4 linked regions of the Arabidopsis thaliana genome follow. The protein of the gene in region 2 binds, or shares a complex with, the protein of the main gene of each other region. Each region holds a gene or a part of one and is shown on either strand. Other genes may lie near its edges. The genes, in order: AT5G40340, FVE, AT5G02950 and AT3G09670.

Region 1 (8,237 bases), on a different chromosome or scaffold from region 2:
TCAATTCTGTAGAAAAGTGGTCTATGGTATGGATATCAAAAGAGTTAATCCATATTTTGTAATTATTTTTCCTGAAGTTTCCAAAAATCATATAGAAGTCTCTTTCGGGTGTGGAAATACATGTACATGTGGATCAATGAAATGCACATGTCACATGCTGTATAACATTCATAAACATACATAACATGTTAATCTATTAGCCTATAGTCATAGAACATGTGTCATCTAGGTTTATAAAATTTCCACACTTATTGTTACCTTTATTCCCAATGTATCCAATTTTGTGCATGACAATGCAACATGTGGAACCCGACGTTAGCCTAACTCTTTGAGCTGAACTATCAAAACCTTAAATCTTTCTAAGAAATTTCCATTATATTAGAGGATGAAAAAAAGACAACATGAATGAAACAACAATTTATATACTCGATCTAAAGAAAATAATAGCATAAATTAAAATTTTCAGAAAAAAACAAGAGGGAACATTGGTGTGAATAAGTGTAGTTATTGTGCTAAATTAAATTATGTTGGTCTATAAAGTATTGGTTAATATATATCAAAACATCAGAATGCTATAACGTCTAGATTAACTTGAGCTTTAGCAATTCGCATGAAGAAATAAAATTTGATGGTTAATTTTTGATCCAAAAATCATCTGATTACTAAAAATAATAAAGAAGAATAATCGGACCGACAAGGATATTATTCGTGGACGACAAAAAGTTTGGCAAGGGAGTGAGTTCACTACAGTAAGACGGCATATGTATTTAAGGATTACCAAACTTTTTGCTTTAGCCAAGGAAGCTTTTTCTCAAGAGCCAAGAGGCACACTTGTAAAAATATATAATCAAATATATGTATATATCAAACTAAATCAATACATATCAAATGTTGTCCTTGCATATACACAAGTAATTTCACATATGTGATAGTGATAGTGGTAGAGATCATCATCTTAGTTGAGACTTAATTAAATATGAACAATCAAGTTCGCTATTGCATCTATATATGTTTTTGCCTTTATTTCTAATCATGTAGATTAAGATCATTTTTATGATATGCGTATAAATATTGTAGAAAAGATTAAGGTGCACAATCTAGATTTGGATAGATAGAAAAAGTAGAGGCATTGGTTTAGCTATCATATGTTCTCATCACATCAAGAGACTTGGATCTTAATTAATCAATGTTTCCATATTTACTGATAAATAAAAAAGTTATAAAGTAGACAAACCGTTGATATAATTTTTCACGTCCAAAGAGAGTACGTAGATCACCTCATGACCAGGTTGCTTTATAGTGTTTAGATTGTATAGCATTCATATTCTGACTGAATCTCTAGAACATATGCTCAAATCATTTCGTTTGGAGTTTTGACCCATCCTCAAATCATATTATATATGCATTCTATGCAAGTACAAATATGAACCATTACATTTTGTTGAATTAGGTTGCATGTCTTTTTAGTTTTGCCCACATGTTTTTCGTGTGAGAATTGTGAATTCCCCATGTGAATCATAAATGAAAAGATAACATGGTGGGTCGTTCACAACTTACAATTCGGAATTATTTTAAACGTGTCTGAATTCCCTTGGCACTGTAATGATCCGTCTGTTACGTTGCCTTGGGCCTTGGGCTTTGGAGATGGACTAATATTTACACAAGTTGGGTTCAAGGTCATTGAGCTTTCTTTCAAACTATGATTAAGTAGTGGGAAATATATGATTCATATATCACTATTACTTGGTATTACAGTTCTAATACAGATTATACAGTTGATTCATATTGGTTCGCCGTCGATACTACATATAATCATGTCATGAGAACGTGTTGTTCGTGTAAAATTAACACAACAAGAAAATTACGTTTAGATGTATCAAATGTTATCCTAACAGATTTCACATGTTATATAGTCTCAACGAAAAAAATTAAAACATTTAAACTGGGTCAAAAGATGTATTTAAGCGATTTTCTTATATGGTGTAACATAAGTTGACCAAAAAGATTGAATATGAATTAGTGTGAAGATTGATTCAATGACTAAATCTAGTTTAATCATAAAATCTAAACATTTATCTTTTTTTAATAAAACTCAAACCGATAAATAATTTTGTTTTAGTAACAAATTAGATTTTATAAGTAAATTAATTTTTTTATTATTATTAAATGTCAAATTTTAATTGAATAAAATAAAAAAAGTGAATATAAGGGTTCAACTCAAATATTTTTCAATTCAATATATATAACCAAGATTTTCGTTACCACTCCACTTAAGTAATGCAGTGAATGAAAAAGAAAAAATAATCAGTGTCTAAAATCAAAATACCGTTGGTCAGTTGAATAATGAAAAAGAAAAGATCTTTGATTTTCCTTTTACTTGGTAGATTCCTACTCTTTAGGATTGAGGTTTTAATAAAAGACTTTAATCAACAAGCACTAAATTTAAGATACTGGTGTTGTGTAATAATAAGTTTGGGCCGAGCAAAAAAAGAAAAGGACTGGGCCGAGAAACGGCAAATATTTGTGTCGTTTCAAATACCAAATTCAAAATCTCCATTCTTTTATTACTCTGCTTATTAGCCGTCTAAGCATATTACAGCTGTCAATCATCGAAAGCATGTGACGCGTCTCTCTTATTTCATCCCACTCGCGTTCATATACACGTGTTATCTACTCTCTATCCGATTTCCGCCACGTAAGAATCTAGACACTGATGTTCTTATACACATAGCGAGTAAGCTGTATTTTACACTCTCGTAGCTAGTCAGTTTATTGTGATAGCGACACGGCTGATTTAGGGAAATAAATTAAAAACGTTGTCTTATTCCTGGGGCAAAAAAAAGCAGATAAGTAAGCAAAAAAAAAAACTCATTAATTACGAAAGTACCCTTAAATTTCTCCGAAAGGAAATTTTTGCGCCGCGTTTCATCTTCTCTCAAATCAAAATCCAGAGAGAAAAAAAAGAGAGGATTTTTCTCATGAGATTCTGAGAGTGTCTTTGTTCTTCTTACAAAGAAGTGTTTTTTCTTGAAGATTCTTCGGTCGCTGTTCGAAAAGTTGTTGTTTCGTTTCTCTCGGAGCTCAAAATCAGGTAAAAAATTTGTTACTTTATATTTTCGTTTTTCTAGGTTTTTCGTAAGAGTTAACCTAATTTCAAAATTTGTTTTTTTGGGAGATATTGTTGGGTTTGTGTGTAAATAGTTAGGTTGATTTTTTTTTCTGATTTGTTTGTCGTTTTGTGATTTTTTTTTTCTACAGTCGGGAAGAAAAATGGAAATTGAAGTTGTTTTGGGAATCGGAGAAGATGCGGGACCTAAGCCTTGTTCTGCAGAGATTGAATCAGCTGAGAAAACCCTAAAAGATGATGGTGTTGTTCAAGAGAACGGTGTTAGGGTTTCCGACAACGGTGAGAAAAAGTCTGATGTTGTTGTTGATGTTGACGAGAAAAATGAGAAGAATTTGAACGAATCTGGAGTTATTGAAGATTGTGTTATGAATGGAGTTTCTTCCTTGCTCAAATTGAAGGAAGATGTGGAAGAAGAAGAAGAAGAAGAAGAAGAAGAAGAAGAGGAAGAAGAAGATGGCGAAGATGAAGAAGAAGAAGAAGAAGAAGAAGAAGAAGAAGAAGAAGAAGAGCATGGATACTGTGTAGGAGATTTTGTGTGGGGAAAAATTAAGAATCATCCATGGTGGCCAGGTCAGATTTATGATCCATCAGATGCTTCAGATTTGGCTTTGAAGATAAAGCAAAAAGGGAAATTGCTTGTGGCGTGTTTCGGAGACGGGACATTTGCTTGGTGCGGTGCGTCGCAGTTGAAACCGTTTGCAGAGAGTTTCAAAGAGTGTTCGAAAGTGAGTAATTCGCGGAGTTTTCTAGGTGCAGTGGAAGAGGCGGTTGAAGAAATTGGTAGACATATTGAGCGTGTATTGGTATGTGATTGTGCTGAGGAGAAGAAGCATGAGTTTGATAGTCCTTTAGTTAACAATGCTGGGATTAAAGAAGGTGTTTTGGTGCGTGATGTGAGACGGGAAATGATTTCGTCGTTGTTGATTGGTAAACATGGAGAGATTCTTAAAGATGTTAAGAGTTTTGCAGAGACTGTTAGTTTTAGTGGCTTGCTTGAGCTGGAGATATTGAAAAGGAAGGTATCTGCGTTTTATCGGTCTAATAGAGGATATGGTTTGACTGAGTATCATGAACCTCAATCAGTTCCAGGACTTGAAGACAAGAACAATGATGATGATGATGATGATGAAGAAAAGAATGTTAATGATGGGTTACAATGGCGTGCTAAACGGTCTAGAGTAGAAGAAGTAGCAGCTTTGGATCATGAAGAGTCGTCGTCTCTTCAGAGATCGTTAGAGAAGTGTTCTGGTTTTCCTGATCATAGGCTTCCCCACAGAAGGAAGGAGAAAAGCATTACTGAAATAATTGAGAAGGAGTCAGCTGCTAAGGTTAGGTTTGAGACAGAACCTGCGGATGGAGATGTAAAGTCAAATGTTAAGTCGGGTAGGAAGAAAACAAAACGCCATGATGAAGTTAATGGTGATCTTGAAAATGTAACTACTACTGCACTGTGGAGGAGAAGAAAGAGTGAAGTAGCTACAATTGAAGACGGTGGTAACAAGCAAGTGGTAGAAAGTAGCAAAGGCAAAACTTCGAGGAAGAAGAAGAAAATGGATGTGGATGATGGCGATGATGATGGGAGTGGAGACAAAGAAGAGTCTGAGGAAAAAGAGATTTCAGATCTGGAAATAAATATCGATTCAACTTCATTAGCTTCGCTGCGGAAAAAGGTAAGGTTTGATGATTCAGTCGTTGAAAGGAGTACTGAAAATGGCGAGACCGCTACACAAACATCAAAGAGAGAGAGGAAGAAGAGCAAGTATCTCTCGCCTGATTTCTTGTCAGATTTTTCACGGAAAGGAAGAAAAAAGAGTACAATCGAATCTGAATCTTCGAAAGTTTCAAGTCAGAGCCAAGTAGACGAGCGAGTGACTGATGCTAGTGATAGCCTCATGGAAGTGGAAGAAGATACGTTGGATAAACCTTGTGAACCATCATCTGATAATGGATTAGGTCAAGAAGAACTGTCTAGGGAACTTAGTAATGCCGTCGACTTTCTGAGGTTGGGAGCTACACCAAAGGAAATGCAGGATCTAATTCGTGTAGCTGCTCTTGGCACACAATATCCAAAAGACAGTAGCTCAAGAGACATGGTAAGAGAATTCATGACCATCTATAGAAGCTTCACATATCATGATGGAGCCAATCACAAGTTCTTAGGGAGCTATGATAGTTCGGATAAAGAAAAGGAAGAACTGAGTGAGATGGGTAAGCCTGTAACTAAGGGGAAAGAGAAGAAAGATAAGAAGGGTAAAGCAAAGCAGAAAGCAGAGGAGATAGAGGTAACTGGTAAAGAAGAGAATGAGACAGACAAGCATGGGAAAATGAAGAAAGAGCGAAAACGTAAGAAGTCTGAATCAAAGAAGGAAGGGGGTGAAGGAGAAGAAACCCAGAAAGAGGCTAATGAGTCAACAAAGAAAGAGAGAAAACGTAAGAAGTCTGAATCAAAGAAGCAATCAGATGGAGAAGAAGAAACTCAGAAAGAGCCAAGTGAGTCAACTAAAAAAGAGAGAAAACGTAAGAATCCTGAATCAAAGAAGAAGGCAGAAGCAGTTGAAGAAGAAGAAACCCGGAAAGAGTCTGTTGAATCAACCAAGAAAGAGAGAAAACGGAAGAAGCCTAAACACGACGAAGAAGAAGTCCCGAATGAGACTGAGAAACCCGAGAAGAAGAAGAAAAAGAAGAGAGAGGGAAAGTCTAAAAAGAAAGAAACTGAGACGGAATTTTCAGGAGCTGAGCTATATGTTACATTTGGTCCTGGTTCAAGTTTGCCTAAAAAGGAAGATCTGATTGAAATATATGAAAAATTTGGAGCTTTGGACAAAGAGAGAACTGATACGGTCGACAACAACTTCTCTGCCCATGTGGCTTTCTTGGATGTAGCTGATGGAGAAAAAGCCTTTGAATCCTCACTAGAGAAATGTCCGTTTACTTCTAATTCGACGGTGAAATTCAGACTCAAGTATCCAAATGAGAGAACAGAGGAGAAGAAAACTGAAGCTGAAGTTGCAGAGACGACAATGGAGGTGGAATATCTGAAGAAAAAGCTGGATGAGATGAAATTGTTACTTGATGGATGCGAAGGAGGAATGACTGAAGAAGTGAAAGTGAAACTTGAAGGTGAGATGGTAAATTTGTTGGAGAAAGTGATAGAGATGAGATCTTCTTAGGATTATGATTTTATGTTTTTATTTTGTTGGTTGAGAACTTTCAGGACAGGTTTTAGGATATTTATGGTTTCTGCAAAACATAACAAAAGTATTTTGAGAGGTTAATGTCTTGGTGATACTATGATCTTGTCGTAGGGTAGACAGAATTAGATCGATGTTCTATGTTTTTGTGTAGACTTTTTTAAAGTTTACCAACTTTGATACTAAACCCATTAGTGGGCTTTTGGTTTATCACTCTCTTGAAAGCCCACTAATTTTATTATATTACAAACAAAATTTTCAAAATCCTTTCGACGAGTATTGAATGTTTGATGAAGCCATACAAAGAGGGAGGTTGGAGATTTTTATTAGAAAGGGAGTCTCGTCGAGACTGAATCATTTACGTAATGCTAATTAGTGATCCAACAACATAAATGTTCTAAGACAATGAACAAATTCAACCATTTGATTGATCACAAAAAATGTATCCAGATAATGTATAAGAGTTAATTAAGATATTTGGCCAATTTCAAATTCAATTATCAAATTCAGAACATTAGGCTTAATCATGTTTGCTTGTTCATGTTTGCTTGTTCGTTTTTGCGTTAGTTCTCGGAGAAGCTGTAGACTTCTATCTTTGAGGTTTTGTGGACGGACCTTGAATAATCATGCTCGTGGCAACTAGGATGAGGATTCCAATACTTCGGTACTGCGGCAACAACGCAAATTTCCGAGCTTCGCGGACTCGGAATCGGTGTTTCTCCTCCTAACTTGGCCTTGATCACTCATCGGCGATCCTTTGCAATTAGAGTTGTAATGTTGTTCTTTAATTTTCTGTAAATTGTTTTGTTCTGCTTCTACTTTTCCTTGTAATTCTGTCAAAAACAAAAATGGTATAAAATTTCACCTTTTACCAAAATTAAAAAAAAATAAAAAATAAAAAATTCAGAAGATTAATTTATGTGCAGTAAAATACATACATAAGAAAAAATAACGGGACAATATATCTACTATTTTTTAGTTTATCACATCTATGATAATAATAAAATTATGAAACAATTAAAATGCCTAAATATGAATAAAATATAAAATTATTTAGTAAATAAATGACATAAAATGATAAATTCTTACAAAATAAATGTGAGATGATTATATTGCTCCTCAATTCATAAATAAAAGATGAGAATTCAAGATATCCATTGCTGTCACGAAATCTACCAAGTCACGTTAACGTGATTGGTTTTAATTTTAAGACATAAATACGTTTTAATGATTTGGTTTACTTTTTTGTTGGAACAATTTATTTAAGTCAACCAGAAAAAATAATCTCTAACAGTCTTGGCTTCTTCAACTAACTTTCAAATTCCAACGTACGAGGTCTGGTCTTATCTAAAGTATGAATATGTATGATAGATTAATCGTCATTGATTTCAGAACTCTAACATTAGTCAATGTAATTAATGTATAATTAAGAGACACAAAGAGCCTAACCTGACAAGACCTCATTCATTTTATAAAAATCTTACAAGCGGGTGATACGTAGAATCAAGGCTTGTAACAGCTGGATTATCTCGGTTGACCATATTTGTTGACTTAAAATGAAAAAATTTCCGACCTTATGCAAGCGAAGATTATATTTTACTCTCCTTTTATCATTTTAGATTTTCTCACATATTAAAACTATACCATTTATTTATAAATGTTCGAGTATAAATCATTATTAGAAAGATGCCAAACTAAATGATACAGTATAAATTAGATATTGGTAGTCTGTATTTTCCACTACACTAAAAGTTAGGATTGACCTTTTTTTTGGAGAATCCAGAATTAGATATAGAAACCAAGAGTTAGTTTTCACAGCTGAAAATGCACTAGTTATCACTTTAATTTGATTAAGTTGTTCTTTTCTGTACAAAATACGGAAAATCTTATGTGAACGCCAATGTACGAATGAAGTAGAA
Region 2 (7,812 bases):
ATGTCCTTTTCTCGTTTTATCGCAAATATATAAGCTGCAGAACCAAATGATCAAATCAGCAAACATTGAAGTTGTCTATCATGAATGCTATATCATAAGAAATCAAGCAAGCATGCTTTTCTCAATTCTGATTTAGACCAAGCTTGTAGTTCTGCCAGCTAAAAATCGAGATGCTGAAACATTTGAAAAGTATTGAGTACAAGATAATAAGATGTGCAATCATGTCCATGAACCAGAAAATTTACAAGAACCTGTGTGAATCCTCTATTCAACGCAAAAATGCTTAGCCAAGATATATACACACACGCACACAGAGATATAGATAGTTTCTAGATACTACATTTGCTTAATTCAATGTCGCTGAAAACATCAACAGTGACTGAGAGATACAGATCCAAAAAATGTCCTTTCAATAAGCATGTTCTAATATCTGATAATAGAGTGGAGAATCAAACACTCTCAGAGTAATGCAATCAGCTTTCTTCGAGAATCAAAGCAAGGACAACAACAACAGTTCAAGGGATAAATTGTAGTATCATATATATCAGACGACCGCTAGAAGAATTCGTATTTTCTATTCTCAAAAATTAATAAAGAAAAAGGAAAGAACTTTCTCAGCTAGGCATTACATCGAACACATTACGGACGTAAAACTAAAAACCTTACTAAGAAAGTAATGAAGATTTCTCTAACCTGCAAAACCGAGATTGAAGATCATCGTAGCTCGCCAGCCTACTTTCTGCAGTTTAGAAACGACTTTCTGCGGAGGTTCGGATCCAGAAGGAGATGATTCCATCGAGATTCCGATGGGGGATTTCTCACTAATAGAGTTTCTCGAGCAATTTAAGTATCGTCGGAAAAAGAAAAGAAAATGTAGGTCTAAAAACCCTAATTTTATGAAATACTCCGATTCGTCTACTTGTGATTGATTAGCTTCCCTACCTTATTCCTCAAGCAATACATTGATTCATGTTTCTCTCTTTAGTATCTTTTGGAACAAAAACTTCTTCGTTTGATCTTCTCTGACTGATCTTGACGGTCTCATGTAGGCTTTGTGATTGGATTTTTAAAGTCTCTAGCTCATCAAGAGACTTCATAAAGCCTATTAAGCGGGAGGACCATTAACGTTAAGCCCAATAAAGTAAAACATTATCATATAGTTTAGTTTTATGAAATGACCAGGTGATCTATGTATGATTTGCAATGGTCTGATTGTTTAGTGACTGTTAATACTTAAAATTTCTTCAAAATCCTACGAATAAATCTGTGAATTGAAAATCACCTAATCCTACTGCTAAGCGTGATTAACAGTTTTTTTCTAATGAAAACGACAATGCAAACATTATTTAAGATGCGACGAATCATCAAGAACCCAGTTTCCAAATTTTGCGATGCTTATTACTATATTGTTTTATAATGACCCCTTCTGCTTTGCATTTGAACATCAATGCAACTATTTTTTTTGTAGCCGGGTTGGTCTCGACTAGTTACAGAGAAGGAATCATTAGGTTCAGGCCAAGTATTGAAACCTTAAACCAAAACACATAAAGTTGGTCCGATTTGATTAACATCTCAGTTGAACAAAACAGCACCTAAGAGTCTGATGAAACAGGATCATGAACCAGAACCATGTACCCCTAACTGATATGGAAAGGTCCTAAAAGCTACCACCAATATCTCAAAAGACAAACCAGCCTTACAAAAACCAAGACTCCTCGCTAAAACCCGCATTAGTTTACCATAGGCGATAGATAGATAGACAATGGGTTTTCTTTACTCTTAAGGCTTGGAGGCACAAGTCATAACATGCGACTTGAACTTCTCCAATTCTGCCACGACTTCTTCTTCTGGTCTGTAAATCAAGTCACTCATCCGCCATATCTGCCATAGAAGAAAGTATAAACAACATTTAACGGTATGTCAATAAAATTGCTTATCAAGGTACCAAGAAAGATTTCAAGGTTACCTGCAATGTTCCACCTCCACCAGTAGTCTCACAGTCATCAGAAACACTGACAATAGTCCAAGGGTCTGAAGCATTCCAGTGGAAATCAACAACTTTGTCCCTAATATGGTTTATAAACAAGGGAACTTAGAAGCAAGTAAAATGAGAAAGCAATCAAGAAAAATCAAGATAAGTCTTTAAGAACCTGTGACCAGCATGCTGGAAGAAGAGCCCAGCGGGGCTTTTAGCTGCACGATCAGACTTCTTACTGACCTGATGGTTAATTAAACAAACCAAACATGAGTACAATGAATATGTTTCAGTGATGATAGTGAAGAAAGATTAATTTTAGACATCTGAGTGAACTATGTACACACCCTGTCATAATCCCAGATGTTCAAGAGACCATCTTCTGCAGAGCTCCCAAAGACGGATGACTTATCAGGAGACCACTGAATTGAATAACAAGATAGTGTCAGTGGGTTAAGAGATATACTTCATACAAAGAAGGAAAAAAAAAAAAAAAGTTGATTATACCTGAACACAAAGAACAGCAGCTTTGTGTCCCTCAAATTTGTAAATAGGCGAACCAACTCCATTAGCGGTAAGCTTCCTACGATCAAACAACCGGACAGTGTTGTCTGCTGACCTGAAATATTCATCAATTTCTTAATTAGATACTAAGTATGTATTAATCATCTATTTGTATGTATTTCTCCATACCCTGTCAGGATCAGATTGTCGTCATGAGGATTCCAATCAACACAATGAAGATCAGCATCATGCGCTTTTTCAACCTGGAAAACAAAAAAGTAAGATATAATATCAAAAGGAGGTAAATCTTCAAACTTTTGATAGGATTCAAAAGATAGAGTACCTTCGTGACAGGGTTTGTGCCAGTTCTCGCATCCCATAGTATAAGGCAAGAATCATCACCAACACTGCAGAATTCTTGTGCACTTCACGGTATAAAAGTTCACCAGAAGTATTATTAGAAAATCATGAAAATATCTGCAGTATGCATAAACAAACACGATATCAATAGAAGGAGTCTGTTCTAAGAAGTTACCTCGTCGGGCTGAATGCCACATCTTCAACTGTATCTTCATGGCCATGATATACACCTCGTGGGCCAACAGTAGGACTCTCATTCTTATCAGTACCTTCACCAGTCTGTTTGATGATAGATCCAGATGATTTGGAATCTGTCCCAATCGTTGTGATGTGATCTTGGATACTCCACAAAACAACTGACTTGTCCTTGCCTAAGAGAAGAACTTTTGTATGAGAAACTGGCAAACCACAGGATTGGACTCTACAAATTACAGAAACACAAACCTCCGGAGAGCACAAAGGGTTCCGTTGGGCACATGGCAAGAGCAAATTCAGCATTATCTTGGTGCCCAGTTAGTATCTGCATGAAAAATGGTTCATTCAGATGATGCAAACAAGAAGCACTATTTAAGAAGATATCAAAGAGATTTATCACTTCCAATGATGAGAAACAAACAAGAATAAAGCATAAAACAACATTCTCAGAAGTGGACATACCAAATCTGGACGGGAATTTGCAGCTCCAAGCACAGCATGACGGTTTGGTTGGGTTTCAACATCCCAAATGAGAACCTGAAATCAACATATTGTATTTAGATAACTCTGAAACTGGACATATGTCCGAACAAAGGATGCTCTTTGACTGCCAAATACAGAAATATGAAACCGACATATTTCAAGTTGCTATGACCATAACAAAATAGAAGCAGCACTCACATCAGGACTGTCGGTGTGAGTAGCAACAATCTTACTATTCTGTGGGAGTTCCCTGATTCTGTTAACCTGCAATTGCAAATTAGTAATGAATACACATCAAAATTTACTTTCACCAACGTGCCAAACGAATAACTTCATGGACAGATGAAACAGGGATGCAGATACAATTAACAAACCAAATAGAACTAAAAAGAACAATGTCAATACAGAAATATCTCAAGAGTGGGCAGAATTCACACCTCTCCAGGGTGAATGATGGTCTTGTACTTCTTCACAAATGGAGAACGTGCTTCTTCATTGAACTGAGAACACATTTTCAGAAGATAGTATATAAGTGTCAAACATGAAACCAATTGTAGTGTGGAGTAGGATATGGAAAGGACACAAGCTTAGTATTAAACCACATAATACCTGAGAAATGTGCTCTGCTGCAGCAACCCTTGGCTTAACAACTTCACAATTTGCTATGACCAAAGTATTGGGCACACTTCCATCAGTCTGGTGACACAACCAAGAAAAATACAAATAATACGATGAGAAGTATATAAAGAAGATGAGACAACAAGATACAAGAGAAAGCTAAAAACTTACTTGCTCTGAGAGGTACAGACGCTGGCGATTCTTGTAGGTTGCTTGCTCAAGCTGCGGACCCCATCTATAAAAAAATCAAACAACAATTCACCAAATGGAAACTCTTAGCACAACAACTAAAGACTTCATCAGATATAAACACTCAGAGAAACTGAAAATTCCTCTTAGTCATTAGTAACCAACAAGGTAATCAATAGTAACAATTCATGAATAGAACATCAGATATATCAAGGTATGAAGACAGAGCCACATCCAAAACCCTAACTAGAACAATCGCAACAATCTCACTTAAACCCAGAAATCGAGAAAATGTATGTGTAAGATTTTACTAAATTCATTCCAAACATGAGAATGTTCAAAGCTAAGAAACGATTACGAAACGAAACCCTAGAAGGAGAGGAAAGGAGAAAGGGGGAGACCTGCAAGAGAGTGAAGGCCAGACGAGGTTATGGTTAGCGAGCCAGTCGTAGAGAATGGGGACGAGACCTTTCCACTGAGAGTACTTCTCGTCAACACTCGGCGACTGCTGCGTTTTCTTCCCACTTTCTTTCATTTTAACATCGCTCTGTTGCTGAGACGACGGCGTCTGAGAATCTTCCTTGGTTTTAGGTTTCCGACCTCTCTTCTTCGGCCCAGAAGCTCCGGTTCCTCCGCTCGGTGTCGTTGCTTGAGGAGACACTGCTGCTGCTTCGTCGCTCTCCATTTTCCTCTCTCTCTTTTTAATTTTTCTTTTTTGGTCTTTGCTTTCAGTGTCTCTATATCTCTCTCTCTTCTGCTTTACAAATACAAACAAAACAACCACCGTTTACCATTTTTACTTTGGACATAATACCTGAATCCGAAAAAACCGATCTGAACCCGATCCAAAAATCCCAATCCAAAAATCCCAATCTAAATTCGAACCTGAAATTTTCAAATATCCGACTGAATCTAAACTTCAAAACCTGAAAAACCCGAACCCGAACTGGTACCCAAACATATCTTAAATATAAATATAACTAAAATATTTATATTTATATTTACATATAGACAATATTATGATTTTTCGGATATTTTAGTTACTTTTATGTATTTTTAAATATATTCAAGCAAAACTACTCGGGTTGTTTAGGGAATTTTTGAAATTTTCAAATAATTTAATAGATTCGGACACAAAATTTTGATATTTCAATATATAACTAAACCCGAAACCGAACCAAACCCGACCCGGAATCTTGAATTACTCGAACGGATCTTAAAATTCTAAACCCGAAAAACTCAAACCCAAAATACCCGACCGAATATCCAAACACCCATAATTATTATTTTTTAATTCAGTAAAATAAATACTTTATTGAATAATAATAAAAATTACGGATGAAATAATTAACAGTATAAATTAATTAATATAAGCGTCTCTTACATGGATTACTAACTTTATAATTCATATCCAAACTTGTTGTTCTTTCTTGTAGCTTCTTCTGAAAAAAAAAAAAAGAATAGATCCTCGTTGCATTTTGAAAAGTGATTTAAGAAGATTTCAATGTTTGTTTAATACTTGAACAATAAAGTCCAATATTGTTCAGAAGTATATGACTAAGCTTAGACTTGAACCCTAAGTTTGTTCTTGGTGTCTAAACTTAAAACATTCATTTCATTTGTTCTCTGCTGGCTAAACCTATAAAATTTACCTTTCATTTTATCTTCTTTATTTAAAACATAAAATTGTACTATTTCATATCCCTCTTTGTTCTATGTGAAAAGCTCAATTTTCACTCATGGATTCGACACCAAATAACTTTCTTTGGGACATTGAAAGCCTTAAAATATCTCGAGGTTATGATTTACATGTAGTTGTTCCAAGCTTGAGGCTTTTTCTCAATCCAGCATGGATTAATCTGATGAATATGGTAAATCCGAAAAAAACCTAAACGTCTGTTCGCTCTATTTAATATCTTAATTTTTTTTATTATGATTATAGTTTAGAACTTAAAAGTTATGTATAATCATGTCATTTTAAAATTTCGCTTCAAATCTCTATAATTCTTGGCATTGCACTTCTTATATCACTAGTTTTGACTATTAAGAAACGTTTTGTGCATAAAAATTCAGATTTTTTATGATCAACAAATTAAATAGTGTTAGAAATTTTGTTGTGATTATGAATTTTTTAAAATTCTAACACAATTTATTTGGTAGAGGTGCAAAATAGGTATTAAACAAAAATTTTAGATCTGCACAACATATATGTATACAAATATGTATATGAACTATGCAAATAAAAGAAAAAAAAAACTATTACTAAGATTACTAGGGAAAAATATTGACTCAAATCATCTAATTTATGTTTCTCATCTTACTAATATTAATGTTGATAGTATAGTGGTGTTTCATATATTCTCTAATTGCATATTACATATACATATTTGTATATTTACACCTATTTTCCTATTAACTTAATAAATAAATATTATTTTTTTTGGGACGAAATAAATTGTATTATTATCGTCATAAAACTGATAGGTACAATGAAATTAGTAACGCTAATGAATTTGTCGTCCAAAAATTAAAGATTTGAATTTTTTATACACAAAGTTTTTCGTGGTAGTTAGAGACATGTGATACAAGCATTTAAGATATTATGCATGTAAGGCAAACATGATTTTTAATCAAATGTCAAATATCATGAGTCAAAGATATACTAAACGAAACATAATATCTAGCTTTTTACAAAGCAATTTTCCAAAGGCAACTAAACCCTAATTCTATATTGGAATGTTATTTTACTTAGAACAAGAAACGAGAAGTTCTCGTATTTTTAAAATTATCAATTTTTTATACTTTTACTTTATTATATGTACAATATGTTTCTCTAGATTTCAAAGTTTCATTTATGATCATCTAAATACACAAACAATTTAATCACAAGAAATATGAATAAGAAATATAAGGTATTAACTTGCTCGACGGTAATTTAATATTCATCTTAAATATGATTTTATATTAAATAATCATTATTTGATGCATAAATAATATATGCTACAATGTATCACTTAAAGATGAAGCTCGATTTTTTCCTTCTCTTCCTTAATCTTCTCCTCGAGTTCATGAAGGTAGGCTTTGTGTAACATAATCTTCCACATGATCTTTTGCACCATACCAAATCCACCACTTACAGGATCATTTGTCCAAGCATTACCTTCCATGATTATGGAAGTTGCAAGCATTTGTTTTTTTTCTTCAGGAGCATGCCTCATCATCTTAATGATCTTTGGTGTGCCAAACAATTCATTAGTACTTTCATAATGACTTCGCCTGAAAATTAAAATTAATTAATATCAAGTAAAATGTTTAGCAGAAGATAATAGTAAGGAAAAAAAGTTTTTAAAAAAAGTATACAACTCATATGGAAAGTATTCCGCATATTCGCAGAATCTAGGACAATTTCTATTTTTGGTGATACATACGCAGCAAGGACGACGATCTCCTAGTGGTTCCATAACAATAATTTGTTCTTTTAGAAATAA
Region 3 (6,620 bases), on a different chromosome or scaffold from region 2:
TTGATTGTGGTTTTTGATTGGAACTGATTCTATAGCAAATGCGTCTTCATTTCTGGATATGTTTGCTAAATGTTTTTTATGTATAGATCCACAATAGATTGTGTAAATTTTGAGCTACTCTGGAGTTCTAGTATGGTTGATAACTGGAGATTTAAAATTCGCTGTATGAGTATCTATGGTCTCTTGGGTTTTGAAGCTCACTTTTGCTGATGTATTAGAGATAAATCTTCTATCGTCTTGTTATTATTTAGATGAATTTCTTATTGATTTTCTGAGTTTTAACTATGGTTTATCGAGTGAAGTTGTTCTCAAATGTTATTTTGTGATGATTTGTTAACAGTAAGACACGTGGTATGGGAGCTGGGCGTAAGCTGAAGAGACTCCGAATTAACCAGAGGTGGGCTGACAAGCAGTACAAGAAGTCTCACTTGGGAAATGAGTGGAAGAAGCCTTTTGCTGGTTCTTCTCACGCTAAAGGAATTGTTCTTGAGAAAATGTAAGTCTGATATAACATTCAAGTTTACTTTTTCTTATAATTGATTTGTTGAGTAGAGACATTGGTCGTTGATGAGACTCTTGTGTTTGATGATGCAGTGGTATTGAGGCTAAGCAGCCTAACTCTGCTATCCGTAAGTGTGCTAGAGTTCAGCTTATCAAGAATGGAAAGAAGATTGCTGCCTTTGTCCCCAATGATGGTTGTTTGAACTACATCGAGGAAAACGTAAGTCACATGAAATGACTATTCAATCATCACACTATGGATTAGTTTCATTCATATGCTGATACATTTCTTGTTTATGGTGTTGCAGGATGAGGTCTTGATTGCTGGATTTGGTCGTAAGGGTCACGCTGTGGGAGATATTCCCGGAGTTAGGTTCAAGGTCGTGAAGGTTTCTGGTGTTTCACTCTTGGCCCTCTTCAAGGAAAAGAAGGAGAAGCCAAGATCTTAAGCAACCCGTACAAAAAGCTTCAAGCTTTTGATATGGTTTTTGATAGTTCAGTTTAAGTCTTGTTCTGTTCTACTTTATGTTTCAAGAACTTGATTTTGTGTTACATTTTATGAGTTTTTGAATTAAGACATGATCGTTTAATGTTATTGGTGTTTAATCAATTTACTCTTTTAACTTATAAGCCTCATCTTCAGTTGCGACTAACTTTACTGTTATCATTGGTATTTCCAGTTTTGGTTTTGTATGTCATAAAGTTAAGAATTAGTCTCATCACACGAATGTTACTTTTATTTATCGAAAACCTACTCTCATCATAAATCCTAGGTTACGTTTATTTATCGAAAATCTACTCTCATCATAAGACCTAGCTGATGATATCTGATCAGACCCTAATCTCTGAAAGTTAAGAGATGCCGTGACTCAATCAGTCATGTTGTTTTTTTCCGTTTGGGGCAAACATACTCGAGTCTGTAACTTAGAAGAGAAGGTCCAAAGATGCTGTATTTCCCTGCGCTGCTAAAGGCAGTCTTTGCGTCTTCCCCTCTTTTGAACACAACTTTGGCTCTCTTACCCTTCATCGTGACCTTAGTCTTAGACTCATGGAGAGGACCGTAACGTTTAAATATCTCGTTCAGCTTTTCTTCAGATGGAACCGAACCTGAATCCGCAAAGTTGAGGACTAAAGCATAGGGTGGTAATGAATCTGCAGAACAGTCCTTGAGACCAATTTGCTCTTTCGAGCCTGAGCCAGTGATTTCTTTATTTGCAGGTAATATCTCTTCTTCTGCAGAGTCTTTCTTATCACAAGGTTCTGATGTCTCAGTGATACTTGCCTTCTTTGAGTCACCATTGAGTTTACTGCAAAACAGTTCATTAATGAACTTTTCAAAATCTTCATAATTCGAGGGGTCTATGTTGATTGAATCAGGTATTCCCGTTGAGGTATTGGCAGCGTGAAGGCTTGAGAGCATCTCATCAGGAGAAGAAATCTTTCTTTCAGCAAGCTCTTGATGTCTCGGCTTCTTAGTCTTCTCATTCTCAACTTCCGTAGATTTAGAAGCACGGCAAGGCTTAAGTGTAGGAGTTAAAGAATTCATCTCATTTTCCACTCCAGTTCCATGACACGGTTCAGCCGTCTTCTGCAGTTTATTAGTATCACCCACTGACAAAAGACTTTCCTCATTAGAGTGTTTAGACACTGAATCCTCCTTTTGCTGACTTTTCTTGATCCTTTTCTCAGACTTACCAGATTCCGAAGACTCAACCTTACGCTTCTTTTCAGAATGCGACTTACCATCCAATTTCTCAGTTGATCTGCTCCCACAGCGTTTCTTTACAGTCAAATCTGACAAAGTCTTCTCCTTTGTCTGTTCAGCATTATCTTTATAATCTGTCTTTCTCTTTTTGGCAGATATTCCTTCATCCATATTTACTTCTGGGAGAGAAGCCAGGGTCGCAGCAGATTCCACCGACCTTACAAATGTTTCATAGTCAATGAAGTGAGAATAGTCTTTCCATTGTTGAAAAGCCAATACCTGAGCTCGGTTAATCACAAATTGCAGCTTCTCAGTCGCATCATAGCAAGGAAAGCAAGCTAAATGCTTCATATAATCCACAAGTTTAGCAGGTTCAAAAGAGATTCCATCCGATAACTTGTCTCCACCGTATCTAACACTTGAGTCCTCACGAATTCCAGCATTGATTATGTTCTGAGTCTTGAGTTTGTTATAGGCTTCCTCTGAAACACAAGAGCAAGATAAACCAAACTCTACTCTCCTTGAAACCTCATCCAAAGCACAATCAATAGCATCACGAAACTCAGCGGAGTTACTCTGCTCCTGCATTTGAGAGAAATTCTGATGAAAAGGCTTTATCTGAGATGCATTATTCCAAGCAAATGTACAATCCCCAAAATACGCAACCAAGACATTTCCTTTCTTGAAGTGCCTCATCGCAGCTTTAGAGGCAACAGATTTATCAAAGACCAGTCCAGGCCACCATGGATAACTTCTTAGTTTAGCCCAAACCAAATCTGAGTCAAAAAGCTTCAGATTCTCTTTAGAAAATCCTTTCTTATCCTTGTTCTTAAGCAGATCTGAATCAGCATCAAAATCAACCCCGTTACAGAGACTATCCTTATCATCACGAGCAGAGACAAATACTTTTCGCTCAACTCCAGTGAGGTTCACTACCAAGTCCTGAGCTTGAAAGCTCATGGGATCAGCTAGGGTTTCAGATGTGTGAGCCATACCGTAGTCAAAACTCGACGCATTTATGGCAAAATCAGCGTTGGAGTCAGATTCGACTCCTTCTGGTTCCGTAGACATAACGAGCACCAACAAAAATCCCTAGACAACGAAGAAACAAAAAAAAGCAGAAATTGCTTCAGTATATGCTTCCATTAAAGCAAAAACAGTACATCATACGAGAGACGAAGAAAATAATCGGAGAGCAAAAAAGGTGGACAGAACCTCCGGTGGCGGTTACGGTTTCGCCGGCGACGAAAGCTTAGATTTTGGGTAATGAAGAAATAACAGAGTTTCTTTCGTTTTGAGGGGGTTTATGAGAGAGCTACGTGTACGTCACGAATTATTCCACGTGGCAGTACTTGATTTTGTCTCGACTCATCACAACCATACATTATTACATTGAGTGAGGTTCAAAATTTTCAAACTTTTGCTTTTCCCTCTTTATTTGAACTTGAATTTGACTTGTTTTTACTGATATTAAATAGAATAGAATTTTACTACAAGTAGATTAGAATTTTACTACAACTAGTTTATTTCTAAAGAATTAAATTTGTTAATTTTATGTTTAATGAGAACCAAATGTTTTCCTACAACATTAAGACACTTTTTTATAAGTTTTCTAAACTTGTTTAATAGTATGTTTTACTAAAAAGTGATATTTTGAAAAACCTCTTTTGGGGATATTTTTAAATACTCCTCATAGACTAACAAAATAATATATCAATTCATATATAAACACAATAACACCGTTTATTGTGTAAAGTGCTTAGCTCTCTCAATGGTCAAAAAATGCAAAATCCATTTTCTTGTTATGTCTTTGTCATTTTTATTGTTATGTCATGTGGCGTCTCAACATTGAGAGGATATTTTGGGAGCCAGTAACGTTCGAGATTCAAAATTGTGGATGAGATTTTAACGATTGAAACAAAAGTACTAAAAAATAGTCGTTTATTAGCACATGTACTCTTTTTTTTGTTTGGACAGCTATTAGCACATGTACTCTTATATGTATGTATGTATATAAAAACGTGAATAGTGAGTGGAATAAGAGAAAGTAGTTAAAATTCAAAGCGATAAGAGTACCATTTTGTTTTTATTATATTCTATTCTATGGACGCGATTCCTCTGCGTTGTTTACCTATTCAAATGAAGTTCTAAGCCAAAAAAAAAATTAGTCGATTTGTTTTTATGTTCATAACACCCCACGGGCTAACTAATATGGTCCAAAACAATATAACAACAACAAAATAATCACGCAAAAATCTAAAAAACCAGCCTTGTGTCCATACTCCACCCACATATATAAGGAGAGAAACAAAAAGAGCGTAAGATAAATCAAGGAGAAGATTAAGAAAGATGGTGGCTGTTCAGTTGTTTACCTGGAAGCCATTGATTCTACCTTCTCAAGCTTTGACAAGAGATCGATTAGCTTCTTTTCACAGGTTTTGTTTTTGTAATTTCTTTCTTATACTTGATATTTCTGAAAACAATTGCATGGTGGTGACTTTATCCATAAGTGATAAGATGATGATTGTGAAGTTTGTGATCCTCAGAAGATTTTGAGTGTTTTTGTTAGAAACAAGCTCTTTATTTCCAAACAACTGATACAGATACTTAAAGAACACGGTATTTATCATTTAAGCGATCAATACTAAGTAACTCCTCTCAACAAATTCTATATTCTAAAAGAAATGCCAATGCCTCTGTTTATTTCTGTGTCTTCTCTTCTTTTCTTTATAATCCGAACCCTCTAGTTCCGTCAGCGTCTTCTTCGTCCTTATCTTCAAAACTTGCTTGGGCATATATCACAGTTTATTTTTGTTGTTTCTTCTTCCGGTGAATTTTACTTCATGTTTTGCTTACAGTAAATGTAGCCAAGTTCAATGGTTTCGATTAGAAAATGTGACGGTTTTAGTTAGGAGCTCTGAATTTGGGTTTAGAGTTTAGTTTCAAATGGAATTTGGGTTTGTAAGATAAAGGTATATCGTAAATTGATTCAAAATCTGGAAATTGTCATTCAATCAAAGCTCATTGGGTTGTGATGTTTACAAGTTGTGTATCTCTGATTCTTTTTTTGCAGGAGCTTGAGTTTACACTCTCTGCCTTTAGGTGGGATTAAGTCTTCTAGTTTCAGAGGTCAGGTTCTGTATATTTTTCCAACTTTGATGCAATTCTTTACGGTCTCATTGTTGCTGTTCTTCCACAATTAGACTCATTCTTGATTAGCTAATTGTATTTTTTTTCTCTCTATATGACAGGGACCTTCAAAGTCAAATCTCAAAGGACAGGAGATACAGAGCCGCCTAATAAAAACTTCAAAGATTTAAATTCCAAATTCTATAAGGTGAATCTATAGAATGAGTTTCATCACTGAATGTGTTATCACTCCATATGCTTATAATAATATAATCTTGTTTAATTAAATATGCAGAGTCTTCCATATAAACTTGTGATAGGATGCATCCCACTGTATGCGGTGTTGAGAATAGCGCAAAAGATATTTCAAGAGCTTCCAAATCTCATTCAGAATTCAGTGAAGGCTGGCTTGCCTTTTGCATGTGCATCAAACGCTATAGACAAACATCCTTTACTCAAGGCCATTCCTTCTTCCCATGATATCAAATGGGGTCTTGCAAGGTCTTCTTACCTCTTCAATACTCAGCTTGAGAAGAACCTTGGCACGTACGTCCTTAAACCCCAATGTAGTCTCAGAGTTTTAACGAGTATAGCTGTTTGCAGGCATGTGACTATATATGACATCCGTTCTGATCACTTGTCATGGCTATTGTAGGGTATTTGTGGTGCTCCTGATAACATGCTTTTCGTTTGTTATCATTGGAGGACTCTTCTTTTTCAAATTCAGGTAACTTAGCTATGTTTAAGAACTTCTTGTGATATCCATTGCATGGTTTCTTACTTTTATTCCCCTCCTTCTTGTTGTGAAGGAAAGACACATCCTTAGAAGACTGCCTCTGGGAGGCCTGGGCATGCCTCGTTAACGCTGATACTCATCTGGAGGTCATGATTTGCTTCTTCACAGAACAACTTATATTAGTCTCACGATATTTCTATGGAGTTCTTGCTTACTAAATAAATGCCTATGTATATGTTTACTGCAAACTGCAGCAAAAGACACGCTTCGAAAGACTCATTGGATTTGTCCTAGCCATTTGGGGAATAGTGTTTTACTCTCGGCTTTTAAGCACAATGACAGAGCAATTTCGGGTAAGTTCTTGAGATAAACATTATTGGTTAATTGGTAAAAGTTATCCTGATCGATGTTGTCTTGGGCAGTATCATATGAAAAAAGTGAGGGAAGGGGCACATATGCAAGTCCTAGAATCTGACCATATCATCATTTGTGGAATAAACAGTCATCTGCCTTTCATACTAAAGCAACTCAACAGTTATCAACAGCATG
Region 4 (6,974 bases), on a different chromosome or scaffold from region 2:
GACTCTTTATGTTTCAGTCTCATCTCTCCGCTTATAAGTGATCGTGTTTTTGTTATGTCGGGTTTAGGATTTGTTTTATGTTTTTTTTGTTTATTCCGGTTTCTCTTTGGTGCCTTGCCGTTTTCGTTATCTCGGGTCGGGATGGTTGAATTAAGGGATTTGAATGACATTCATACGTCGTGTAGTAATACTTTGTTAATCACCCTGTTGAAGCTACGAAGTTGCTATAATTCGTAGTTTTTTCTTATAAACGTTGGAGTTATTTGGTCTGAAATGTGGAAATTATGATTATGATTTTTGATTTTTTTCCTTACTACACTCTCCTCTTGTGTTAAGTATTTGTGATTTAGATTATAACTTTATGTTCTTTATCAACTCCGAATTTGTTTTATATGTTCTGAGTGAGTTGATTTCATCTGATGAAATGTCCTTTGGTTCTCAATTTCTTTTATCTTCTATTTGAATATCTTCAGTAAGACACGTGGTATGGGAGCTGGTCGCAAGCTTAAGCAGCTTCGGATTACTCAGAGGTGGGCGGACAAGCATTACAAGAAGTCTAATCGAGGCAACGAGTGGAAGAAGCCTTTTGCTTGTTCTTCTCACGCTAAAGGAATCGTTCTTGAGAAAATGTAAGTTTGTATAAACATATATATTTACCATTTCTTGATTTTGTTAGTAGTATAGATCTTGACTTTGATGAGACTCTGTGTTTGATTATGCAGTGGTATTGAGGCTAAGCAGCCTAACTCTGCTATCCGTAAGTGTGCTAGAGTTCAGTTGATCAAGAATGGTAAAAAGATTGCTGCCTTTGTCCCCAATGATGGTTGTTTGAACTACATTGAAGAAAATGTAAGTTAGATTGACATCTACTTTTGAATGAGTAATCAAATTATATTCTTACCAATTACTCATTCATTGATACTGTGTGTAGGACGAGGTGTTGATTGCTGGATTTGGGCGTAAAGGTCATGCCGTCGGAGATATTCCCGGAGTTAGGTTCAAAGTGGTGAAGGTCTCTGGTGTCTCACTCTTGGCCCTTTTCAAGGAAAAGAAGGAGAAGCCTAGGTCTTGAGCTCTACTACATTTTATGAATTTTTTTTGATATTTGAAGGCATGTCTATGTACTTATTCAGTGACATCTCTTATTCTATTTTCCTCCGAGTTGAGGTTAATTTTGTTTGGATTCTAATTTATTTATTCAAATTCATAATTAGTTTTGGATTCAAATGAATTATTGACCATTAAATTGCACAAATCTGGAAAAACAAAAATAACTTTGTTACATTCTCTCACTAGTGTTTGTTCAACTCTGATTAAATCATACAATTCTAAACTTTGAAAGAGAAGAGAATCCATCTAAAAGGTATATTCCACTCTTGGGTACTAACAAGAACCGGACTCGATTTTAGAAAGATCTGTATTAGTGGGTTAGACGCTGATGCTGAGCCTTCCTACTCTGCAGAAACATCTTCCTTGCAACTATCAGATCCACCAGAGCAGTTCTTGTTACTCGGCTGCTCTCTCAAGTCCAAGCCACTGATTTTCTCCCCGGTTAGATTGCTGTCCATAATAGATTTCTCATCCGCTACATTTGCAGCTTCTTTCTTATCCTCATGTACGACCTGCTCCTTAGAAGAGTCTTTCAAGTCTCTAGACTCCAACATCGGGTCCTCCACAAGGTTAGTACTAGGAGCTTCCTTTCTGACCTGATCAAGTTCTCCGGATAGGTTGTGGTCTAGGCTGACAGAATTGGATTTCCCACTTGTGGTTTTGGTAACAGAAGCAGCGTGAGGGCTTGAAAGTGTAGTTGAAGGAGAAATTTCTCTTGCTGATAATGCTTCGGCTTTAGGTTTCTCCTGAAGACTCTTTCCACTGCCATTGCTCTTGGCTGCCTTTTTGGAGGTCGAATCACTGCAAGGTAAGAGTCTGGTTGGTGTTGAACAATGCATCTGGTTTGCCACTTTCAATATGCTTGCCCCAATTCCGAAACTTTTTCTAGCTTTCTGTGGTGTAATCTTATCACCAGCAGACAAATTATTTTTTCGATCATTTTTGGGAGAAACTGGAGATCCTGGATCCTCTGTTTGCAGGTTTGCCTTAATCTTTTTCGTGGACTTGGGAACTTTTGACTGCACAACCTTGCGTTTCTTTTCGCAATGCGGAACATTACCAGACTTTTCATGTGATGTGTTCCCATTATGTCTGCTTACGCGTTTCTCAGCAATGAACTCTGCCAAAGTTTTCTCCTTTTTCTTTGGAACAATAGTTTCTTCATATTCAAACACTCCATCGTGTTTACAGTCACCTTTATCAGGATCAGAAACTTCAACTAAGCTACTTTGCTCTGTTTGCAGGTTTGTCTTTCTTCTTTTAGTATAAACTTGTTTACTCTTTGTTGGTTCAGGATCAGAAACTTCCACTAAGCTACTTTGCTCTTCTGCAGGAGAAATCTTGGGTGCAGACTCTACTGACCCCTGGAGTGTCATAAACTCGGGGAGGTCAGTATAGCCTTTCCAGCGATTAAAAGCTAATAACTGTGCTCTCTGACTTACAAGCTGCAGCGCATCAGTAGCATCATAGCTAGGAGAGCATGCTAAACGCTTCACATATCCCACAAGGTTTGCAGGTTCAAAGAAGACTGCACTTGAGACCTTGTCTCCACCGTGTATTGAGCTTGAATCTTCTCGGATTCCAGGATTGATTACATTCTGAGTCTTGATCTTCTGATAGACTTCCTCTGAGATACAAGAACAAGCTAAACCAAACTCTATCCTTCTTGATACCTCTTCTAACGCAAAATCAATAGCATCAATAAAATCAGGTAGACTACTCTGCTTTGCCATTTGGGAGAAATGCTGTCGAAAAGGCTTAATCCGTGACGCCTCATTCCAAGCAAAGGTGCAATCTCCAAAATAAGTTACTAAGAAACTTCCTTTCTTGAAATGCTTCTTCGCCTTGTCTGTTGCAGCCGAGGCATCAAACACCTGTCCAGGCCACCACGGATGGCTCCTTACTTTAGCCCAAACCAAATCTGAGTCAGAGATCTTCACCTTCGCAGCTACATGGGCAATTTCATCATCCAAAATACTCTCATCCTTGCTCTCATGCGGTTCTAAACCCATAAAACATACAACATCCAAGTCCTCAACTTTTGTTCCTTGCTTTTCTAAGCCATCGGGTTTTCTATCCTGAACAAGGTCTTCACTATCCAGTCTGCCATCAGAAACCTTCACATCACTGAGATCAGCGCCATGAGAACAGACCATGTCAGGTTCCACTTCCTTCTCAACAAGAAGCCCCCTTTTCTCTACCATCATGACCTCTTCGCTATCTACTAGAACCTTCTTGTCACTTTGGTTACTCTCTCCACCTACATTTTCGGTTCTAGTGCCTAGATCTAACTCTCCATTTACAGATTCCGTTTCCTTAACAAGATTAGTAAATCCATTTACTTTCTCCATCCCATTATCACCAGCTGAAGCAAAGTTGCCGCATCCTTCTTTATCATCTCCAATTGTTTTCAGCTCCTGAGCTTGACCAGCTAGGGCTTCAGACATTTGATCATTTCCGACCTCTAAACTCGACGCATTAGCCTCTGAGACTGATTCAATACGTTCTGATTCCGTCGACATAAGCAGTACCAAAACAAAACCCTAGAAAATCATCAGAAATTTTCTTCAGTTCATTTCCCAACAAAACATATAACAGAACCTACAGGTGAAGAAAGAAAGATAGAGAAGGTGCTCACAACAAACCTCTGGTCACGGTGGTGATGAACAGCGAATTTTCCGGCGGCGGGAGCTCGTTTATAGAAATGAAGTAAACGAAGACGTCAAATCGAACCAGAAACGGGTTTCTCGTTTTTTTTTTGTTGTTGTGAATTTTTGTGCGGTTCAGTCCACGTGGCGGACAACTAAAGCTTTATTAATTGATTTTATCCTTTCTTTTGGTTATCTTTGGGTTTTAGGGTTCAATCATTTGGCCCACTTACCAAAAACCCATCACAAAAAGCCCTTTACCTTTTTCCCGCCAAAACCCATTGGCCTAAGCGAGATTTTTCTCTGCGACTGACGACGAGCGAGTTACAGTGGGTTAAGCGGTGATGGGATTTTACGGTGGTGGAAGCATGGCATCGGGTCGCCCTGAATCAACAGGAATTGATTCTCTCGGCATCGGGAAAATATTAGCTGTATACATCAAGGACAACGAGAATTTGGCCATCGACGAGGATAAGTTGCAGCTCACGGCGGAGCTCATCCGCGTATTCTCCGCATCACCTGGTAGAGACATAGTTTCTCAGGTACATCCTCACTTGGCCATCATCAAATTTCTGGTAAAAAGTTTATAAATCTGAATTTTATAAAGCTTGGTATAGCTTGATTTCGAAATTAAATTCCGGTTATGAAATTGTAATCTATTTAGCTAGATTTCGTTTCCACTCTACTTCTATGAAGAATTAGGGTAGATAGAAAACGATTAATCAACTTCTCTATGCGTCAATTAGTTCTTCTTAGTATCTAAAAATAGGAGAAACAGTTTATAAGTTTATTCCATGGCTTGAGCCAGGTGAATGAAGACGGTGGTGGTTCCTTCTCTTTGTCTCTTGATCTCCAACAATTCAAGAAAATATCTGATATCGAGAACTTTTTCATAAATCTAGAGGATAATCCTAAAGGAGTTATCCCATGTATGAATGCTGCTGTTCACAAGGTATGCTATTACTTTTCATTGGGGTTTGTTTTCTTGGTTGGCATAAGATGAAGACTTATGTCATCTCTCACAGGTTCTTTTTGATCAATGGGAGACTAATGAGTTTGAGAATGTTATGAAGATCAATGTTCGTCTGCATAATTATCCTGAATCTTCTATCTCCCTGAAAAACCTGAGAGCAGCTTATATTGGTAGACTGTCTCATCTAGCGAAATAAATAATAAGATGTAAAACCTTAAGTGAGACATAGCATGAGTGTGTGCTTTTGAAATTGCAGGAAAGCTTGTAACCGTTCATGGGACTGTTGTTAAAGTTAGTACTGTGAAACCCCTTGTCACACAGATGGCTTTTGACTGTGGAAAGTGCAAAACTGGCATAACCCGGGAATTTACTGATGGAAAGTTTTCTCCTCCACTAAAATGTGATTCCCATGGATGCAAGTCCAAAACGTTTACTCCAATCCGGTCCTCTGCTCAGACAATTGATTTTCAGAAAATCAGGTGTTCTCCTATTTGCGTCTCATCATTTTGTGTACTTCATCCTTGTTAGTTATGTATCTGACCATTGTTAACCAGCTGTCCAAATGCATTTTAGGGTACAGGAATTGCAAAAGCCTGAAGACCACGAAGAAGGACGGGTACCCAGAACTGTAGAATGTGAGCTGATGGAAGACCTTGTGGACATATGTATCCCTGGTGATGTGGTGACAGTTACAGGGATTATAGGAGTAATTAATAATTACATGGACATTGGGGGAGGTATTGATTTTATAACTTTTCATGGAGTTCTCTCCATCCTTGTTGTGTCCATAATTTGCAAACATTAACATGCCCAAACGCCTGCTATCCTTACCCGTAGAATAGCTGGAAATTTGTCTCTTAAAGTTCTCTTCCATGGTTTTTGGGAATCTCATTGCAGGAAAGTAAAATAGAGCACTGCTAAGTTGTTTGTTTTACTCATATTGACATTTTACCAAAGATCAAGGAGCTAGAAGCCTCATTACTGGTATTAAGCCATACTCAAGCTTAACAAACATTTAAAATGCTCCTGTTTCAGGGAAATCGAAGACCAAGAATCAAGGATTTTACTATTTGTTTATAGAGGCAGTTTCAGTGAAAAACACCAAGCGGCAGTCTGCATTTGAGAACTCAGAAGACTCTAGTAGCAGTGCCCAGACTGCAGATGTTGGTGACTTATATTCATTCTCTCAGAGAGACTTGGAATTTATTGTGAAGTTCAAAGAAGAATATGGTTCTGATACATTCCGTCGCATACTTCATTCAGTCTGCCCGTCTATTTATGGCCATGAAATTGTCAAAGGTTATACTTCTGTCCATAACAAGATTTGATGATTACAATTAGAAGCATTGCATATCATGATACGTCTGTTGTTTGTTTTCTTCTTATCATTTCAACAGCTGGGATAACACTATCTCTTTTTGGAGGTGTAAGGAAGCACTCGATGGATCGGAACAAAGTTCCAGTCAGAGGAGACATTCATGTCATTATTGTTGGTAAGCTTTTGAACCATGTTTAGCTTGAGCTGAGGAAAGGGTATTTGTAACTAGTTTGTAGCACGAAATTGTGATTGATGATTTTCGATGCACTAATAGGTGACCCAGGATTGGGCAAAAGTCAGCTCTTGCAAGCAGCAGCTGCCATTTCCCCTCGTGGCATTTATGTATGTGGTAATGCGACGACTAGAGCAGGGCTCACCGTTGCTGTAGTGAAAGATTCCATGACAAATGACTATGCGTTTGAGGCTGGTAGCTCATACCCTCTCCTTTATTTAGCCCGCACAAATCTCAGTATATAGCATATTATTCTACTGTTTCCGATATGGGTTTGAGTCATGCTGTTGATGGATAGTTTTACTTAATACTTACTTAGTCTAAAATTCATTTCTTGTCTTGATGCTTGAGGTTGTGTATGCCTTGTCGGTTTCAAGTGATGTCATTTTATGTGGATGTTATATTACTGTCTTATAGTTTAGACTTTAGAGTGGGGGATCAATTAGCAGCAGTCTAAAATCTTTCTACAAGATATAGATAGTTCATTCAAAAATTCGCATCTTCAAAAGTGTTTTATCAGTATTAGGATAGGGTTTTACTGAAGAACGGCACAATAGTAAAAAGTTGTATATGCAGAGGAACCCCTACTTTTAAATAGTTCAACTGATTTGTGTGTAGGACGAGAAACCTTCCATCTTTCTTAACCTAGTGCTACTCTGTGAGCAGGTGCCATGGTACTCGCAGATGGCGGGT

What was found.
Region 1: FVE (region 2) and AT5G40340 share a complex: the UniProt entries of both Arabidopsis thaliana proteins name them as parts of the PRC2 (polycomb repressive complex 2) complex.
Region 3: FVE (region 2) and AT5G02950 share a complex: the UniProt entries of both Arabidopsis thaliana proteins name them as parts of the PRC2 (polycomb repressive complex 2) complex.
Region 4: FVE (region 2) and AT3G09670 share a complex: the UniProt entries of both Arabidopsis thaliana proteins name them as parts of the PRC2 (polycomb repressive complex 2) complex.

What each region holds. Positions count from the first base shown.
Region 1 is NC_003076.8:16,129,714-16,137,950, reverse strand, and holds AT5G40340 (Tudor/PWWP/MBT superfamily protein), read left to right. Parts: upstream 1-2,557; 5' UTR 2,558-3,091; intron 3,092-3,258; 5' UTR 3,259-3,270; coding exon 3,271-6,297; 3' UTR 6,298-6,554; downstream 6,555-8,237. UniProt on the Arabidopsis thaliana protein: Together with PDP1, PDP2 and PDP6, interacts with MSI4/FVE and MSI5 to suppress FLC, MAF4 and MAF5 expression by regulating the function of the PRC2 complex and modulating H3K27me3 level, thereby promoting flowering.
Region 2 is NC_003071.7:8,453,203-8,461,014, reverse strand, and holds FVE (Transducin family protein / WD-40 repeat family protein), read right to left. Parts: upstream 5,260-7,812; 5' UTR 5,010-5,259; coding exon 4,726-5,009; intron 4,371-4,725; coding exon 4,307-4,370; intron 4,214-4,306; coding exon 4,127-4,213; intron 4,018-4,126; coding exon 3,955-4,017; intron 3,782-3,954; coding exon 3,716-3,781; intron 3,572-3,715; coding exon 3,497-3,571; intron 3,360-3,496; coding exon 3,284-3,359; intron 3,211-3,283; coding exon 3,015-3,210; intron 2,905-3,014; coding exon 2,823-2,904; intron 2,743-2,822; coding exon 2,669-2,742; intron 2,595-2,668; coding exon 2,483-2,594; intron 2,398-2,482; coding exon 2,323-2,397; intron 2,219-2,322; coding exon 2,151-2,218; intron 2,067-2,150; coding exon 1,967-2,066; intron 1,882-1,966; coding exon 1,780-1,881; 3' UTR 1,373-1,779; downstream 1-1,372. Other genes in the region: AT2G19530 (uncharacterized protein), read right to left, coding at 1-34, 694-796; LBD8 (LOB domain-containing protein 8), read right to left, coding at 7,339-7,600, 7,685-7,785. UniProt on the Arabidopsis thaliana protein: Core histone-binding subunit that may target chromatin assembly factors, chromatin remodeling factors and histone deacetylases to their histone substrates in a manner that is regulated by nucleosomal DNA.
Region 3 is NC_003076.8:687,610-694,229, reverse strand, and holds AT5G02950 (Tudor/PWWP/MBT superfamily protein), read right to left. Parts: upstream 3,546-6,620; 5' UTR 3,422-3,545; exon of another isoform or gene 3,299-3,421; 5' UTR 3,278-3,298; coding exon 1,379-3,277; 3' UTR 1,131-1,378; downstream 1-1,130. Other genes in the region: AT5G02960 (Ribosomal protein S12/S23 family protein), read left to right, coding at 341-496, 595-721, 810-950; AT5G02940 (ion channel POLLUX-like protein, putative (DUF1012)), read left to right, coding at 4,556-4,641, 5,280-5,335, 5,458-5,543, 5,631-5,881, 5,991-6,062, 6,145-6,217, 6,326-6,424, 6,494-6,620. UniProt on the Arabidopsis thaliana protein: May influence gene expression by regulating the function of the PRC2 complex and modulating H3K27me3 level.
Region 4 is NC_003074.8:2,963,295-2,970,268, reverse strand, and holds AT3G09670 (Tudor/PWWP/MBT superfamily protein), read right to left. Parts: upstream 4,069-6,974; 5' UTR 3,756-4,068; exon of another isoform or gene 3,749-3,755; intron 3,654-3,748; 5' UTR 3,633-3,653; coding exon 1,452-3,632; 3' UTR 1,211-1,451; downstream 1-1,210. Other genes in the region: AT3G09680 (Ribosomal protein S12/S23 family protein), read left to right, coding at 474-629, 723-849, 932-1,072; MCM8 (minichromosome maintenance 8), read left to right, coding at 4,103-4,300, 4,567-4,710, 4,784-4,901, 4,988-5,210, 5,305-5,468, 5,767-6,030, 6,129-6,224, 6,324-6,476 and 1 more. UniProt on the Arabidopsis thaliana protein: Together with PDP1, PDP3 and PDP6, interacts with MSI4/FVE and MSI5 to suppress FLC, MAF4 and MAF5 expression by regulating the function of the PRC2 complex and modulating H3K27me3 level, thereby promoting flowering.